3 linked regions of the Drosophila melanogaster genome follow. The gene in region 1 interacts genetically with each later gene. Each region holds a gene or a part of one and is shown on either strand. Other genes may lie near its edges.

The links. A genetic interaction does not mean that the proteins touch.
Region 2: of Abd-B (region 1) and chm, changing one enhances a phenotype caused by changing the other (phenotypic enhancement), as found in Drosophila melanogaster (one study listed by BioGRID).
Region 3: of Abd-B (region 1) and corto, changing one enhances a phenotype caused by changing the other (phenotypic enhancement), as found in Drosophila melanogaster (one study listed by BioGRID).

The regions. Positions count from the first base shown.
Region 1 is NT_033777.3:16,928,209-16,935,756, reverse strand, and holds the start of Abd-B (abdominal B), read left to right. Parts: upstream 1-1,514; 5' UTR 1,515-2,725; coding exon 2,726-3,386; intron 3,387-4,143; coding exon 4,144-4,355; intron 4,356-4,439; coding exon 4,440-4,641; intron 4,642-5,904; coding exon 5,905-6,119; intron 6,120-6,176; coding exon 6,177-6,368; coding exon of another isoform or gene 6,369-6,527; 3' UTR 6,528-7,548. UniProt on the Drosophila melanogaster protein: Sequence-specific transcription factor which is part of a developmental regulatory system that provides cells with specific positional identities on the anterior-posterior axis.
Region 2 is NT_033779.5:7,410,727-7,415,436, forward strand, and holds the start of chm (chameau), read left to right. Parts: upstream 1-1,690; 5' UTR 1,691-1,780; coding exon 1,781-2,582; intron 2,583-2,655; coding exon 2,656-3,281; intron 3,282-3,347; coding exon 3,348-3,505; intron 3,506-3,565; coding exon 3,566-3,938; intron 3,939-4,710. Other genes in the region: CG15818 (uncharacterized protein), read left to right, coding at 229-1,080.
Region 3 is NT_033777.3:5,082,353-5,089,081, reverse strand, and holds the start of corto (corto), read left to right. Parts: upstream 1-2,009; 5' UTR 2,010-3,056; coding exon 3,057-4,709; 3' UTR 4,710-6,729. UniProt on the Drosophila melanogaster protein: Essential protein required for proper condensation of mitotic chromosomes and progression through mitosis. Binds to specific polytene chromosome sites, many of which are shared with the posterior sex combs (Psc) protein.

The DNA of each region.
Region 1 (7,548 bases):
ATACTTTATTTCTATTTATAAATAAAAAAGTTGAATAATAATTTCAATCGAAGAAGTTATTTTTGGAAATAGATTGCGGCAGTTAATTACAAGTTTTGTATTATTATAAGTAGAATTCTTGAAGTTTTTTTGGGGTTTACTTGATCAACTTTGTTATGTAAGCAGTTGGACTCTTCAACTAAATGCGTGATGTGAAAAATTAAAAATGAATGTTCTGATTTCACATAAGAAATAATATTATTCGTCTCCAGTCGCGATGACTTCTGACATTTTCTTAAGCCCCTGCTCAAATGTATTATTGTAATTGCTAAGTATGGATTTTTATGCGATTGTACATACATTTTGTTGTCAAACGGGTTGAGAGTTGTTCTCATCGCATCCTTTTTACGATTTGTTAACATTTCCTTGGCCTCGACTGCGTGCCTTTTGCTTTTCTTCCAATGGCAATTGCCATAAAATTCCCATAATTGTCCATTGCAGCGTAAAATTTGGCAACTGCCTTTGGAAGTGAGACAAGGAGGGGAATCTGTAGAAGAGCCAAAAGGGAGAAAGGATGTTGAGATAGGGGTGAAAAGAGACCCGGGGTTTCCTAACAATTGGGCTGTCATAATTTGCTGACTGAACTGGCGCACGCATGTATTTGTTTAACTAATTAGCATTAATTAGTCACTGCGCTTGACGACTCGTATAATTGGTCGCGATCCATGGTCTTTATGCAGTGAGTTTTTCTGTATGTTGCTGCTGTTGTGGTAATCGATAAAAAGCGCCAACAACAAGCCAACTAACTACACACAATGTGGTGCCATCTACCACGCCTCCCCGCCCCCATTCCATCGAAATCTCGGACATAGATGGCGCTGTGGTGCGCGCGTGTTAAGTATTCAAATCAGCCCCCAGAATCGGGCAGTAAGAGCGGGCGGTGAGTCTGAGAGCGTTTTTTGTTCGTTGAAGAGCGGATGCCTTCACACGTACACTGTGCGTGTGTGTTTCGCCCTCGATGACCCCCTGTGACTTGGAGCACCTGCTGAGCTCAGCGAATTCCAGAGCCAGTCCCAGTCGAAGTGCGATACCATCTTTACCTCATTGAAGGCGCTAGTTGAAACAGTGCTATTTCCCCCAGCAACATCCAAAACTCTCTTCGGCTCCCCCCACTTACACACGCACACTCGCTGACAGTCTGGGATCCACACAGACGCTGTATACAGTGTACGTGTGCATAACGCGCCACAAGAGAGCCGCACCAACTGCCATCAACATAACATCAACCACCACCACCATCAATCTGAGTGCTTGTGCAACATGCGCATGTCCGCGCTCTCTTCCAAGTCACACGGACGGGGAGGCACACACACACACACACACACACACACACACACACACACTGGAGCGGGCTGGCGCCGCTGCGCTTAGAGTTTGTGTTCGTGTGCTGGTTCTGGTTCTGGTCTTGGTCTTGTGTTGTCGGTGTGCCGTGCCAGCGATGTGGATATGTTGTCGCCGTGCGCGTTGCTGCCGTCAGTGTAGATTTGTGCTTCGCTCTGTTCGGTTGGAAGGCGCGCGGGCGTCCAGCAGCAACAACAGCAACTACAACAACAGCCGAGGCAAGCGGCCCTGCAACTTCGTCGAGGACTGGGACTTGAACGATTTCGTACTCGCCGTCCATTCACATTCACATTCGACTGGGAGTGTTTCGTTCGAACGGTTCGAAAAATACAAGTTGAACATTTTCGAAAAATTTAACTGAAAGAAGAAACGTTTTTGGAGTCGTATAAAAAATTAAATCAAAAAACAAAAAACACAATCAAAACATCGTGTCGCCGGCGTTGTGAGGAGAAATAATAACATTTTTGTTAACTGTTGCAAACATTGCCTTTAATTGTTTGTTTTGGTCGTAAAATCAAATTTTATGACCAGCAACATAAAAAGCGAACGCCAGCAGCAGCAACAACAACGACTGCAGGCCCCACAAATAATAAACTATTTATGATAATTATAAAAGAGAGAAGAAAATCAAAAACAAACGCCAACCGAAAAAAAAAGAAAAGTGAAAAGAAAACATTAACTGACAAAGGAAAAATTGGAAAAGTTTTGGAAAATTGGATTGACCGAATGAAAACTGAAAAAAGCCAATTTGAAAATACTGCGTGAGTTGCTGACGACCGCAAGCACCCTGTGAAATTCAAGCTGATTCGATCCCCTGTGCAACAACAAAGTTACTCTCTTCGCCCGCTCTTTAGGCAGTGTGCGTGTGTGAGTAAGTCGGCGTGTGCGTGTGACCGCTGACGGACGTTTGTGTGCGTGTGCGGTACGCAAATAAAAGGGGCAAAACTCGAGTAAAGGTGCTCTGAATATTAAAAATAAAAATTATTAAGTCGCGAAAAAAATATAAAGAGACTTAAACAATTAGAAAGGCGTCACTCAGAGGAGTGAGAAAAAAAAGACAGAGAAAGGTCGGTGGGTCGAGGCGATCGACCCCACTGCACCGCCTTTATCCTCGCCGCCGCAGTTCGAGTGCAACGCGTCCAAGATAACCGTAAATATTCCACCCCTCCCCCAAACCCCAACCATCCCGCTGGCGTGCGCTCTCTACGACCCCCACGATGTCTCGGCAGTCGGGTCGCACGCCGCTGCCGGGGCGTGGTGGGGGCATCACACACACACCCACACCCACGTACCCACCGCCCCGCACCCGCATCCGCATCCCCAGGCGCATCCCTCCCTGCCCGTCATGCAGCAGCACCATCTGCAGCAGCAGCAACAGCAGCAGCAGCAGCAGGAGCAGCAGCATCTGCAGGAGCAGCAGCAGCATCTGCAGCAACTGCATCACCATGCGCACCACCACCTGCCTCAGCCTCTCCACACCACCAGCCATCACCACAGCGCGCATCCCCACCTGCAGCAGCAGCAACAGCAGCAGCAACATGCAGTCGTCGCCTCCTCACCCTCCTCGGTGCTCCAGCAGCAGCAACAGCAGTCAACTCCCACCACACATTCCACGCCCACGCATGCGGTTATGTACGAGGATCCTCCGCCTGTGCCACTTGTCGCCGTACAGCAGCAACACCTCCCCGCTCCGCAGCAGCAGCAGCAACTTCAACAGCAGCAGCAACAGCAGCAACAACAGCTGGCGACAACACCGGTGGCCGGCGCCCTCAGTCCTGCCCAAACACCCACTGGACCCTCCGCCCAACAACAGCAACATCTCACATCGCCCCACCACCAGCAACTGCCGCAGCAACAAACCCCGAACAGTGTCGCCAGCGGCGCCTCCTCGAATCTCCAGCAGCAGCAGCAACAGCAGAATGCTGCAGTTGCTCCTGGCCAGACGCAGATCGTTGCGCCGACCACGGCGAGTGTTTCTCCCTCCAGTGTTAGTTCTCAGAAGGAAGGTGAGGTCCCAGAAATATAACTTTCCTTGGGGTTGAAAACCAGCGGATTTCTTATTGGAACTCCATTGGTTATGGGCTTTCAAAGATCGTTGGGAAATATATTTTTTGAAATTTTCTACATCTGAACTGGAAAACTCTCGAAATAAATTGGGGACGTTAAATTGGGAACGGGGTCGTTCCACTTGTTTTTTTTTCCCCCCAGTTGCAATAACGTTTCAGTTGTGCTGATTGCAGCACGTTTTTCAAGGCTGATAAGGCTTTTCTTTAACTCTCCCAGGAATCGTCACGCATTTAATTTATTTACTCAAAATATTTGCGTCTGTTTTATCATTATAGACTATATAATTGCAGGGTGGTAACAACTTTAATTTTGTAAGGAAATTAAAAATTTTTAAAAATATTGTTTGTGAGTGTACTGAAGTTCTTCAAAACTGCATTGGTTTTTTTTTAAAGAGTTTACACAAAAAAAAAAATTAAACGATGATTTGAAACGTAATCGTTATGGTAACCATTTTATTACCTTAAGTGTTGACACGTGTTAAATATACAGATTTATATATAGACGAGGTGTGAATGCACCCACATCCATGACATCGACAAACAATCTAAGGGTTATAGGCACAAATGCCACGCCAAGTGATAAAATGCCAAATGATCAAGGAGGTCGATTTGATCATAGACAGTCGTTAAAATTAGACTTACCAGCCCTAGTGCCAATATTAACAGCAGCAAATCTGCGCTTATCGTTTACTTTCAGACATCAATATGTCCATACAATTAGCGCCACTGCATATACCCGCCATCCGGGCCGGTCCGGGATTCGAGACGGACACCTCGGCGGCGGTCAAGCGGCACACGGCACACTGGGCCTACAACGACGAGGGATTCAATCAGCATTACGGCTCCGGGTACTACGACCGCAAGCACATGTTCGCCTATCCTTACCCAGAAACGCAGTTTCCGGTTGGTGTAAGTATGGCCACAGCGCCACCCACGCCTCCACATCAGTTGTAAGCAACTTCGTTCCAACCCGACCTCATTTCTCCCCCGCAGCAGTACTGGGGCCCCAACTACCGCCCCGATCAGACCACCTCTGCCGCAGCGGCGGCGGCCTACATGAACGAAGCGGAGCGCCACGTGAGCGCCGCCGCCCGACAGTCCGTCGAGGGCACATCGACGTCCAGCTATGAGCCGCCCACCTACTCCTCGCCAGGCGGCCTGCGCGGCTATCCCAGCGAGAACTACTCCAGCTCAGGTGAGTCCAGACCGGCCAGAGTCGGCACACTTAAGGGTAACGAGGTTAGGCACACTGGAAATAATTTTGAGCATCTTGCAACTCTAGTTTGGGAGGAGAAATTTTAAAGATTAAAAATTAAAAATTTACTGTTTACAATTCTTAAAATTTTTAATAAAATATTTGGTTATTCATATGAAATTAAATTAAAGTGAAAAATTATACGAATTCAAAATTCTGTTTAAAAAGAGGCGTTCAAATTCCACCTAAATGTTTTTAATTGTAAAATATATATTTATAGACCGTCAAATTTTCCAATGAATCGATAATTATTTGGAAGTGTTTTTTATATGGTGCTATTATTTTTTTTCCTAAAAGCCAAGCCAATTATTTAAACAGCCCTAAAATATTAAGCATCCTACAATATAAAGTTCAAGATTATTTGATTTTCCTATGTGCACTAGACTTTTCGTCGTCGTATCGGTTGAAATAGCAAATTGCGAAACCGTCAAGTTTGTCGTTCAATTAGCGTAGTGCAAAACGGCCCATAAATCGATACTCGCTATTTGGCTAGCGTTACGCCTTTATGTGGGTGCGAAAGTCATTGGGGTTTGCATTCTATGGGGTTGCCTGTTTATGTTCGTGTCTTATCACCAGGTGTTTTTCAACTGCCAGAATTGTATCTGTCGACTAGTCATATTTTCCCAGTAGTATCCATGGTATCCATAGTAAAGACTCGTTATTATGGCGGAATATGTCAGTTAAGTGACCTCGCCAGCCAATTTTACAATTGGAATTCAGGTCTCTTAGGCTCGATAATTAATTTCCAATCTGACCTAACTGTCCTAACTGTTCAATGCTACCAAGACTAATCGAAGAAATCAGATTAGATTCGAAAAGCTCTTCACTCGTGCTGAACTAGCGTTTAAATTAAAATAAATCCAACTTGTCACTTTATTTCAACATTAATTTAATTGCTTCATTTGGTCGGCCAATGAGCGGGAACGAATGTATTCATTTAGTGTTATCCACTCGAGTGTGAATATGGGCCTCATGCCAATTCGGAGCTCCGCTCCCCGTACCGCACCAATTAAGAGGCCATAAATGAGGAATTGAATAATTTCGTATTACGCTTATTGCTAAACAATTTCCGTAATTGCTCTATAAACTTAACGATCTGATATTGCACCGAACACCGAGCAACAAAACCATCGGACCACCCGCACTTGCGGTTTAATGAAGTTAACCATGTAGTTTAACCCCATTACTTGATGATGTTTTCAGGAGCCTCTGGTGGATTATCCGTGGGAGCAGTGGGTCCTTGCACGCCCAATCCCGGACTGCACGAGTGGACCGGTCAGGTGTCCGTCCGGAAAAAGCGCAAGCCGTACTCGAAGTTCCAGACCCTGGAGCTGGAGAAGGAGTTTCTTTTCAATGCGTATGTTTCCAAGCAAAAGCGCTGGGAATTGGCCAGAAATTTGCAGCTGACCGAGCGACAGGTGAGTCCATAAACCTACTGACTTGAACTGAATTCATTAAACAGGCGTTCCTTTCAGGTCAAGATATGGTTCCAGAATCGGCGCATGAAGAACAAGAAGAACTCACAGCGCCAGGCCAATCAGCAGAACAACAACAACAATTCGAGCAGCAACCACAACCACGCGCAGGCGACCCAGCAGCACCACAGCGGCCACCACCTGAACCTTAGCCTGAACATGGGTCACCATGCCGCCAAGATGCACCAGTGACCCTTGGACAACAGCAGCGCTGGCGCCATGGGCTTTGCCACCTACTAGCAGTTAGCCAATCCGAGTTCGGGTAACCCCAGCTCGAATCCCAACCCCATGTCCGATCCGAATCACCATCATCTAATCAAGAACGAGCTGGCCATGGACTTTCCATGCTAGTCCAGCGATTGGAAGGGCGATTCCAGCCAGGCCGAGTTCAGTCGGTTAAATGTACAAAAACCAGAGATCTCTAGCATGCGGGATAGGAATATGTGACCACAATGAGGAGCAAGGATGTGGATGAGCAACTGCCCAGAAGTGCGCAGGCGTCGCTGATGTGTGACCAACCGACGTTGATGCAAATGCAGTTTATTATTAAGTCAGTTCTACGGATCCCAGAGATCCAAGCCCCAACACGATAATGCAGCTTAGTTCGGTAGTTGAATATAGATACGAGTAAGATGAAGAGTAAGCAGCAGCAGTAGCAGATGCACTTGAAATTCGCAACTGTACGAAAATATATGTATGTACGTATTTCTCTCAACGCTCTCATTAGCCTAGGCGAGCACTATGAATTTTCCGAACTATAAATTATGAATATGAATATACTTAAACGTCAGTGAATATAACCCCGCATAAATTATGAATACACGCGTTCGAGTAGTAGATTTTACCATACCTATCCAATTAAGAGCGGCCACAAGGCGGCTGAGTTAGGCTGAGCAGCAGAACACATTTTAGACCCAGATAAATGTTCTTGAAACACAAATTGAAATTGTTTAACAATTTTCGGACCCCTCACAGCTCCGCAAACAAGAAGACACACTCCGCAGTCTAGGATAAATTTTGTCGTATAATGTTCGTCGTGTCGTGTCCTTTGATACCTTCTAAGTTCCTGTATATAAACTAAGACATTGCGCTGATTTCCGGCCGAAGCGAGCACTCGATAACTAAATTACATCAGATATATGTATATGTATATTGCGTACACGCAGAGATATTCAATATTTGTATAATATGAACTCGGATTCGATTTTAGCAAATGGTTAATTGTAAGTTGCAAAAATTTCAATGAGTGTGTGCATGTTTACCCCATAGTTGAAGTCGCTTTCGAATTAAATTAACTCTTAAACCAAGGAAAACACTTAACAAAACTACTCGTAAAGCTAAAGCAACAAAAACTTAAAAGATACACACTTAA
Region 2 (4,710 bases), on another chromosome or scaffold:
GAAATGAAGTATGTCATTAAGTTGAAGTACATATCTACTTTACTACCATACCATATTGACAACGCTTTACAAATAATGATAACTTATGATACCACATCAAATTTCTTGTGACAATTTTAATAAGAAGATCAAATATGCTTATCAACCATATTGCCGGGCCTTTAAAAAGAGAGCCAATTACTTCAGTATCAGTTCTTTATCAAGCTTCAACCTCAGTGGTTGTCCAAAATGTTTAGCTCTACGAGAATTATTTTGTGCGCATTTCTATTGCTGTATCCTTACGGATCCCTGATAGAAGCCCAGGAGGGCAGGCGCTATGTGTGTCTATTATCAGATCCTCCCAATCAGTGCAGTGAATATTGCGTATCCGCACTGCAGCCGGTCATCGATCACCTTTCGAAGGAGCAACAGGACTGGGGAGCCTGCGAGGTGAAACTTAATGGAAGCGTCGCGAAACTGGATAAGATCGAAGACCAGTTGACGGCGACACAAATCCAAATAGAAGCCCAGCAAGCATTCCTTGTGAACAACATTTCGAAGGCAATCAAAACCGAGGACCTTGAGCAAAAACTAAAGGATATCGAAGGCAATCAGACAGCGCTGAGTAATCAGTTGAAAGATGGACAGAAGAGGACGGAAAACCAGTTGACAGCCATCCAGAAGACTCTATCCGATATCGAAAGGAAACTCGTGCTGCAGAGATATCAACAGATAGGATCGAGATATTTCTACATCGAACACAACTTACAGGTGAACTGGAGGACCGCCGAGCAGAGGTGCATTGAAATGGGCGGCCACCTCGCAGCATTCCAAAATGCCGAGGAATACAACGCCATAGTGGGCCAATTGAACAAGGCGAACTACTGGCTGGGTGTCAACGATCTGGCCAAGCAGGGCGAGTTTATATCCTTGGCCTCCGGCAAACGAGCTACCTACTTCAAGTGGCGCAAAAATGAACCCAAATACAATAATCCTACCCAGCACTGCGCCTACGTTTTTGGGCACGAAAACATTATGATCGTTCTGTCCTGTACCACTGACGTTATGCATTTCATTTGCCAATCAGACAGTGATGTTTAGTTTTAAAGTATCAACACATGTATGAATGAATATTACAACAAAACCACAAATACTATAATTCACTTTACTGCATTTGATGCAAAAATTGATGGGAACATTTAATAACGCTTTTAGCAATAATTTTTCTTTGTGAGAGGGTTTAAGGGCAATTTTTTTTGACAACAAGTGATTGCCACAGATAGGAAATTATTTCGTTTCAAATTGTCAAAAAAGTCGACATGGCGCCGTAAATAAATTGGCTGAAATGAGTAATAGGCTTAAGAGATTGCTGTTATCGAATTTATTTTATTTGTTTTTCTGGTTTTGGTTCCCCGCACGTCGTAAATTAAGATTGATTCCTCGTTAAGATTATTAAATTTATCGTACTCGACAAGCACTCTTTATAAGCAACAAATGAATAAAGAAATTTTCGACTTTAATCACAAAAACTGGCTTATATCAATTTTAAAAACTCCTATTAAACAAGGCAATAAACTGTGTAGGTTCGTATTTCAATTAATATTTGCTAACTAAAATATTTTTGGAATACGATATTTTTGTGCCCTAGTTGCACATCTCTAGCATATTATAAGCCGATAGCTCCGGCCGATTCCCATGGCGTTCCGCTTGGCATCCACCTCTGGCCACTCTAATCAAAACAATACAGGAAAACAGGCATTTTTGTGTACAAATATTAAAAAAAACATTCTGCGCTACAAAAATGGCCTTGGAGTCCGGCAGCAGCAGCTCGGAGTCGGGCAGCTCATCCACAAGCGGATCCACCAGTTCGGAAACGGGCAGCAGCTCGGACACGGATTCCAGCAGTGCGACGCCGGAGGAGAAGCCATCCACGAATTCCTCCGCCAAATCCCAGACGCAAACACAACAACAAACTAATTCCGGAAATGCACAGAGAAGAAAGCCTGTTCCTGCGGCGTCGGAGGATAAACCCAAGCCGAGCGTAGCGCCATCTAGCAAAAAAGTAAACAATCCTCCCAAAAGTAAACTCTCCAGCGATGACGACGAATATGAGGACTCGGCGCCGCCGGCCAAAAAGAACTCACGTGCAATGGGCAGTTCCACTGTAACAGCGGCAGCTGCCGCCTCAGCAGCCAGGAGAAAACCACCCGCGTCCGTCAACAAGCCAAGCAATCCCGCTAACAAACCGAGCAATCCTACCCAGCGATCGGCCAACAACAACACAAATCGATCACTGGAGAACGGCGAGGGCAAGCGACCCTCGCTCTCCTCCTCGTCCAATAGCACAGATGACTCTATGAAGATCGTTAAAAACGGGCGGAAGGTTCCCCTCAAAATGGCCAGCACGGTGAGGCCCAAACAAATCCGAGGAAAATTGCCGCCGGCAAAGAAAAACGGCGGGGGACCGGTGATCAGCAGTGACGGAAGTTCGGGCTCCGAGAGTGGCTCCAACTCGGGCGACGAATCAAGTTCAGGAAGCGAGTCTGAGGGAAGTGATTCCAGCAACTCCTACAGCTCGCAGCCAGTAAAAGGAGGAGCTAAAGGTAGGCAGGGTATAAAGTATAGAATTTATGTAAGGATTTTAATAATATTTAAATTTAACTCTTATTATTATAGGTAAGAGAAGCGGACCAACAAAAATCCAAAACTCCGACAGCGAAGAAGAGCGAAAAGACAAGGCCAATCCCATGAGGAAACTGACGCGATCACTCAGCATGCGAAGGACAAAACAGCAACCCAAACAGGAAACCGATTCTGAATCCGATGGAGACCTAGAAGATGACAAAATTATGATCTCCAAAAGTCCCGCCAAAAAGCCAGCGCCCTCGAATTTGAACGCCAGCAAAAGCAAAGTGAAAAGGGAACCAATCGGAATCAGCAGTGGCGTGCTGAGCTCCATTAAATCCCGACCCGTGTCACCGATTACCCAGACTGAGAAGAAGTGTCCCATCGAGGGCTGCGATTCATCCGGACATCTGAGTGGCAATTTGGATAAGCACTTTTTGCCGGAGGCCTGTCCTATCTATCACAACATGTCCGCCTCGGAGTGCAAAGAGCGTGCCAATGAGAGAAAACTGAGGAATGAACAGCGACTAAAGATGCCGGTTAACATTGTGACGGCGCCGGGTAACCAAAACACCAATCTCAAGACGCTCTCGCCTGAGCAGCGCGAGTTTCTGGCCAAGATTCGCGAGTCAAGGGCTAACTTTAAGCCGGCGAATAACAATTTTTTAGACTCGAAGGTGAGGATAGTGGGTTAGCTTGAAAGTCCATATGAGACTATTGCTAACTATTTGATTACGCTTCAGGTAAAGCTGGAAAAAGACGTAACGGACGAGGACCGGGAACCAAATCTGGCAGGCCTGGTGCCTGACTATGATTTGCAATTGTTCCGGGAAGCGCAAGCTCAAGCATCCGAAAGGATCGAAGACGAACTCAAGGACCTGCCCGTGGGAAAGGGAATAAAGTAAGTAGTAGTAATATAACAAACTTATGGAGATCAATTTACAACCCTTACGTCTGACAGATATATCAGCATGGGCAAGTACAAGATGAAGGTCTGGTATCAATCCCCTTATCCGGACGATGCTGCCCGCCTGCCCAAAATGTATATCTGCGAATTCTGCCTGCGCTACCAAAAATCAGAGACGGGCATCAAGCGGCATGCCGAGAAATGCGTCTGGCGGCATCCGCCGGGCGATGAGATATACCGCAAGGGCAAACTACAGGTGTGGCAGGTGGACGGGAAACGTTATAAGCAATACTGTCAGCATCTGTGCCTGCTAGCAAAATTCTTTCTGGATCACAAAACCCTCTACTACGATGTGGAGCCCTTCCTTTTCTACATTATGACGCTGGCCGATGTGGATGGATGTCATATTGTTGGTTATTTTAGCAAGGTAAGTAAAGTATTTATTCGTAATGTATATTTTCTTTGGTAATTGTTAAAAACTGAATATGCTAATATGCTAATCAAACATCAAGCAGTTGAAATAACAAATCCACTTTGATTTTCCAGCTCATTGAATTATAAATTTTAAGTTAAATATAATTTTAAGTTGAGTTACATATTGAAGCAGTTAAAGTATCAAAATGAATATTTAATAAGGAGCTTAATAGAGGGCTTAACTACAAAAATTAATGCTTCCCTTTATTCCTAAGCAATTGGAAACCAAAGCGGAAAATCTGATCCTGCTCTAATGATTTCGATTCCTAATTGCTTATTATTTGAATAGTCGCGCTGCAATTGTGCGCCAGAATTTTCCAGAACCTTTATGGTTATTCCCCAGCATAAAATTGAATAATAACATTTTACAGTTTTATGATTCCTTTATGTCTGGAGACGGAATAGAGATGCGAGGAATGTAGAAGCCGGTATCCCAGACTCCCAGAATGGCAGCCACAGCCCATGTACGGTGCATACATATGTACCGTCAAGCAGACTATATGGTTGTATCCAGATGCAGACAGTGAGCTCTGCCTTGACCATGCCCACCAAAAACAGCAGATGATTTTTCCATTTAATTTTTTTGTCAACGTTTTCGGGTAAATAAGCAACAGACAGAGAGAAACAAGCGGCGCGAACGAGAGAGTCATTTCCCCTGGCTTTAAAAAGCAGCCACGGTTTCTTGACCTCCCACCAGAATGTACGGAAAATACGGGTCCGGCGAT
Region 3 (6,729 bases), about 12 Mb from region 1:
TTTTCTATACCACTTCAGGCATTGTCGTCGTCTTGGCAGTTGTCGTTTTGTCTGTTGCCCCTCTTGACCAATTTCCTGCTGCCCGTTTTTGTTCGTTCTGGCCGTTCGCTTGGGTTGGGGTTGAGCCATAGGCTCTCCAGCAGAGCGACTGGCCCGCTAATTCAAGCAGTTCGGTAATTTCCAAATTGGCGGCCCGTAATCAAACTGTAATGCGGCCGACTCGTCATTAAGCACGCAAGCAGCAACATCACGGCAGCAACATCAATCCAGAAAGCAACCAAAGGCAGAAAAAAGCTGCAAAAAAACAGCACAGCAGAGCAGAAATAAGCACACAAAGGGACGCACGAGTGCAAAGCTGGCAGCTACATCAGATCCAAAACCCATACAAATAATACGGCGGAAGCACCAATAAAGAAAAGGCTTAAAAGCAGCAGCGACAGCACCATAAAAGTCGGCATAAAGCTACAACACTATAGTGTCGATATTAACCCAAACCAGACTCCAAAAACCATCCACAATCCCAGATGCAATGAAGACAATTCATTAACAAAACCATGGCAACAACAGTAGAAAAGCAGGAAATCATTAAGGCTATCAAACAATAGTATCCATTAACTTGTATACATGCACCAATCATGTTCTTTCTTAAGAGTCTTAGAATAATTAGCACATAATACGAATTATTAGTTTTTAGTAGACAATAAGAAGCATTAGTTTTACTTTTTGGATTAAAAGACATGCTTCAATGCAAATCCGCCACATAGGTTTTCATTTTACTTGCACATCGAATAGCAACAACACTGAAATGCAATGGCAACTTGACAGCAACAACTTTCAGCCCCACAACAACAACAGCTGCAACAGCGATTCCAACAAACATATGCTTTGAGAAAAAAAAAAACAAATATGTACCAAGAGAGACAGCCAGACTCACCAACACACTCGCACGCGGACACACCTCCCCAAATAACAAAACAGCTGATTTGTTATCAGCAGTTGCTGAATGAGCCCCACAGAGCGAGCCACTCTCTTGCAGCAACAACAAAATGGGGGGAAAAAAACGACGCCAACGGCGGCTGCTATGGCAACGACCTTCCTTATTTATTACAATGTGTGTAATTCCCAGCCGTTTTCTCACTCTCTCTCGCTCTCTCGCTGTGTGTGTGCGAGCGAGACAGTGCCCTTTCCTGACTTAAATTGCCCATTTTTTAGTACAGAAATGTTTAATATCGCTGTCTGTTTGAGTTTTTGCAATTTGTTTTCCTTTTTTGGTCTGCAGAAAGTCTCTCAGTGCGCAGTTTAGCTTTCGTATTCCAAAACCGGAGAGGTTCTTGGGGTATTTGTTGTATTCTTATATTAAGGAACTACGTAGGTGTGTTCGAAGTTGCGTCGCAGAGGATTTTTAGGCAGTTGTGTGGAGATCACACTGCTTATGTTGATATTATATGGGTTTTAAGTTTTAGGGGTGTACCAAAGTGCTCAGAAATACATAAGTAAAAATAACCCATTCCCATTTTAACCAGGTGATGCTGATAGATTCATTCAACTCCCCGTTTTTAGTGCGGCTCAATTAGCTCTCAACTCGCCGTTAACCCCTTTAGAACCCATCTGCTTTTACGACCCCATAAAGCTGCTCCCAAAAATGCGTTTGCCGTAAAAAATTAAAGCACTAAAACGGTTAAAGACATCGTATTACAAAATAATGTGCGCTCTCTCGCTCTTTTCTCGCCTCTTTGTCTCTCTCTGTCTCGACCAAAGCAGTTGTAAAGATGGCCGCCGTGTAGTAACATGGCTGAATGTATACCACACACACACACGCAGGCACAGAGAGAGCGGTCACAGAGAGGGAGAGAGAGCGGCCATTGAATGCAATTTATATAGGAAAGCAACAATAACAATAACTCTGCGCTCGTCTCCTGCGACTGTGTGTGTGCTGAATACGTCACGGAACATCAGCTGTGCCGAACAGCAGGTAGGCGTCGGCAGAATGGAGCGAAGACGACGTTTCGAGTCAGTCGCTTCAAAGAGCTCGATTCGTGCGGACATAGGAGGAGATAAAGCGTGGTCTGTGGCACGTAATTAACGAAGAAGAGAGTTAAGAAGATTCAACGTCGCGTCGAAGGTGAACACGCAGTTAAAACCCAAAAACAAACGCAACGCAGCCAATTGTGATACGAAAAATAAGTAAATCGGCAGACAATCAACAAAAACAATAAAAGCAAAGCCTACACACAGGCGTAGGCGTCTAGCCAACAGCTGTTTTTCGTGCGCGCTCCGTATTCAGCATACTCGCTGCGCTTACAAACGTCGGCAGAGACCGCGGCAGAGAAGCAAGCGGCGGCAGCAAAACTACAAAGCAGAAACTACAATTCAGATCGCGTTTTTCTTCGGAGTGGATGAGACGTTCGTTCGGCAGTTCTATTGCGCATAGAACTAACAAGTTACCTACTCCGCGAACTCACCCCCGCGAGAAAAGAACAGAACAGAGCATAACCGAATGGAAAGAAGACAAGGAGTAGCTAAAAAGCAACGGTTAAGTTAGCCAGCAAAAACGGGCAAAAAGACTGAAAACACACGTGGATTGTTCACTCACCCCGACACGCGCACCCACTCGCACTCACACTCACCCAGCAGCTCCAACTGTTCGCTGCATTTATGTAAAACCAAACAAAGACTGACTAAAACGCTAATAAATATACAATAAACGTAACGAAACAAAGTTAAACACGCGAACAGCAGCTAATATTATACGGGTTAAAGCGAATTCCAAAGCAAAGCAAACACACATATGGATTAAGGTTCCTCCTATCTCAAAACACAAAAACAAAAGCAACAACCAACTCACGGATTACCTGCAGCGGCAAATTTACCGTTAGCCGCTCTTTTTGGATTACCAGTGCCAATAAAACCACAAAAGTGAATTTTTTCGAAAGTGAAGAAAGCGAAAAACATCCGCAAAATGATAAAAATCTAAATCTAAGTAAATAAGCAAACCAAAAGCGAATTCTGTGTTACCGAAACGAGAGCAAAAGCTAAAAGATCCCCTGAATACAGCAATGACGATGGCCGCCTGTTATGCCAACTACGACATGTCGTCCCTGTCGCACGGCATGTCGGCCCTGTCCGCCCTGCAGCAGCAACAGCAGCAGCAACAGCAGCAGCACAGCCAGACGCAGCAGCAGCATCATCACCAGCAGCAGCAGCAACACATGTACCACGCCGCCGTGGCTGCCCACCAGCAGCAGTTGCTGCAACAGCAGCAGCAGCAGCAACACCACCGCCATCACCACCAGCCCGCCAACACCAGCAGCAGCAGCAACTCGCGCCACAGCCATGCGGCGGCGACCCAAACGCAGGTCGCCGCCGCGGTTGCCAACAGCAGACAACAACAACAACAGCAACAACAGCAGCAACAGCAGCAGCAGCAGCAGCAGACTGCCAGCAGCAACAGCAACGCAGCCCCCGCTCCATCGCCGCAGAAGGACTACAGCATCCCGCTGCACGTGGACTGCAGCGTGGAGTACGAGCTGCCCAACCAGCCCAAGCCGCCGGCGGGCCAGAGAGTGGAGCCCCTGCTGATGATCCACCCGTGCTACTTCCGCAAGATGGAGTCGCAGCGGCGCAGCCCGTTCGTGAACAACATGCATGCGACCGCGCGGGCGGTGAGCAGCAGCTCGCTGAGCAGCGGAGCGGCCCTGGGCGGAGGCGGAAGCGGTGCGGCGGTGGCCACGGCGCCCAGCAGTAGTGCCGCGCGGCGTGGAGCCCGGGCGGCTACGAGCGCCCAGCAGCAGCAACAACAGCAGCAACGCTACCAACAGCAACAGCAGCAACTGCGGCAACAGCACCAGCAGATGTCGCAGATGTCGCAGCAGGCCCACTATCCCCAGCAACAGTCTAGTCTGGTCCGCCAGCACCAGCAGCAGCAACAGCAGCAGCAGCAGCAGCAACGTGCCAGCAGCAACCAAAGCCAACGCCAAAGCCAAAGTCAGAGCCAGAGCCAGAGCCATGCAGCCAACTCAGCGGCGGCAGCTGCGGCCCAGGCCTCGATAGCCGCCGCAGCCGCCGGCCAGTGGGATCAACTGGCTGCGCTGGCCGCCCGCACCGCCCTCACGCCGCACCACATGCTGCATCCCCACAGCCACTACGCGGCCAAGGGTAGTGGCGGCGGAGCAGGGGGCGGGAAGCGGGACGCCATGATCTCCGGCAGCTACGGACAGACGGCGGTCGCCTCGGGGAAGCTGCAACAGTCGCAGGTGCAGCAGCAGCAGCCACAGCAGCAACAGCAACACTGCCTGCCTCCGCCGCCGTGGGACGCGACGTCCATGCTGATGGACCGCTCGCCGATGGCCACAGTTCCTAGCAATTATCAGGCCGGCCCTGACACCAATCCCATGCGCCTCTACTCGGCCACGCCCACCGCCGGAGCGGCCTCGGGCGGGTCGGCGTCGGTGGGCGGAGGCGGGGCGGTGAGTGGTGCGGGGGCGACGGGAGCAGTGAACACGGCCACCGACAAGTTGAGCGGAAAGTACCGCCAGTACTTGCGGTCCCAGCGGATGCACCCGTACGCGGCGGCCGCCTCGCTCAACTTGGCAGCCGCCGCCGCTGCCGCCGGCCAGACCTCGTTTGTGCCGTTCAGTTCGGCGGCCACGGCGGTGGCGGCCACGCCCACATTCCAGCACCTGCCGCAGATCTCCTGCTACAACGTGTGATGCAGCACCAGCAGCAACCAGGACAACGGCAACATCAGCAGCAGCAACAGCAACTTGCAACACATGAGACAGGCGCCTACCAAGTACGCGTCGATGAAATAGCCGCCTCAAGGAATAATTAATAGATCCTCCCCTAAAACAGTACTATATATACACACCCATCAAAGCTTTTAGAATCAAAAGTAATTAACTCTAAAAATATTAAGAGATGAAACAAAATTCTGTCTAGCTGCTATGAGAAATTGTTGTCCGACGGTGAGAAAAGAGGAAATGAGCGATCTTTTTTTCTTTTAGTAATGGTAGTAATTGATAAACGATACAAAAACAAACAACAACAAAAAAAAAAAATGCAAACTATTGTAGTGATATTTGTTATAAAATAATTTTAGTAATTAATTTAATTTAAATTAAACAACCAACAAGAAACAACAGCAACCGCTCTGTGTAAGCCAACCACATAAACAATAACAACTGCAACAACGGCAAAAACAAGAACTGCAACAACAACAACAACGGCAGCAACATTAAACAAAACAATTGCTAAAAGTTACACATACGCATATTTAATTACAAATCAGCAAAATGTTACAACAACCATTTACCGAAAGAATACGAAAATATGAAAGGAAAATTATTACCAAACGATGGAGAGAGAAGAGTAAAGCAGAAAAAAGCAACACAAAAAATACGAATAAAAATTATTCAAAATTATGCAACGTAATTTGAAGCGAGATATGCAAAAATTAAGTAAATTGTGTTTTCAATTAACGTAGCGAGCAAGAAAAGCATAGTTCAAGTGATTTGGCCGCGGCAAGGAAAACTCCCCTTGCCGTCGGCTTTTGTGGCCAACTTTTCACACTTCCCACCACCACCGACCGACTAACTCCTCTTTCTGTTCGCCTTGATTCGATTTTCATCTTCGCTCCCTTTGTTTCCTCATTCTGCTCCGCCTCATGGCCTCCTCCTCTGCGGTGAGCCGTGATTGATTATTGTCATTGATGGAGGACCGGGCAGCGGGTTGGGGTGACCTCGGCGCACAGCACAGGGGTCCCTCGCTAATGGCAAACCGTTGAGCTGAGACGAATTTCGAAAACTTACAGGGCTCCGATTTATGGCTAGACATGAGGACGTCTCTTGAAATTTCACTATTAATATCTTATACTTAGATACTTATATACTATTTAATGTATTTGAGCCAGCTGTTGAAGGACTAAATCTGGCAACACACTACGATATCGAGAGATGTTGATTTCCACTCTATGTACATATATGTGTTCCACGACGTCGGTTATTTCGCTTTTACGCCTTTGTTTTCGATTAGAAGTTTAAATACGTTCTTGTTCACGCCACCAGCGGCCTCACTGTACTTACCTTTCAAAGACCAGCATTCTCGAAGTTCATTCGTTACAGTGATATAACCGAACTGCCTTTGCCTTCAGTGCTTACGGCTCTAATTTTGGTCTTTGTTGCGAGGTGAAAACGCAGCAAAATCTAATGGTTTCGAGTGGCCAGGAAACGCGAGATGTTATCAGCTGAAATTGTTTTTGCTCGCCCCCAAGGTCCCTCGGGAAAGTGTGTGCTTTCATTACTGATTGCATGTCGAGGCGATTGGCGCGGTTCCATGGGAGTTGCTGGGTTCCGGAAAGCAAATAGCTGAGTAATTTATGCATGGGCAGGAAAACCCGCTGAGGATTCAGCGCGCCATTAAGCCAATCGTCGAATTAATTAAGCCAAAAAAGAGTTTTCAACTGAAATGAACGACATCCGCTGCCGGGGGACCGGCACTGACTCATCTGTCCGCTTTAGGCTGCCCTACATCCAAACAAGTCCGACTCTACTCCACGACCATGCGGTCGCAATCCACTCGAGATTCAAGAAAGAAAAGACTTTAGTCCAATTGCAGAACGACGGAACCATTGCAGGAATTTGTGGGACCAGTTTAGACGCATCGGTTAGTCGAAGAAATGGCCAGACCACATATTAATCCATAACTTATTCAACATACAAGTCATTTCATTAG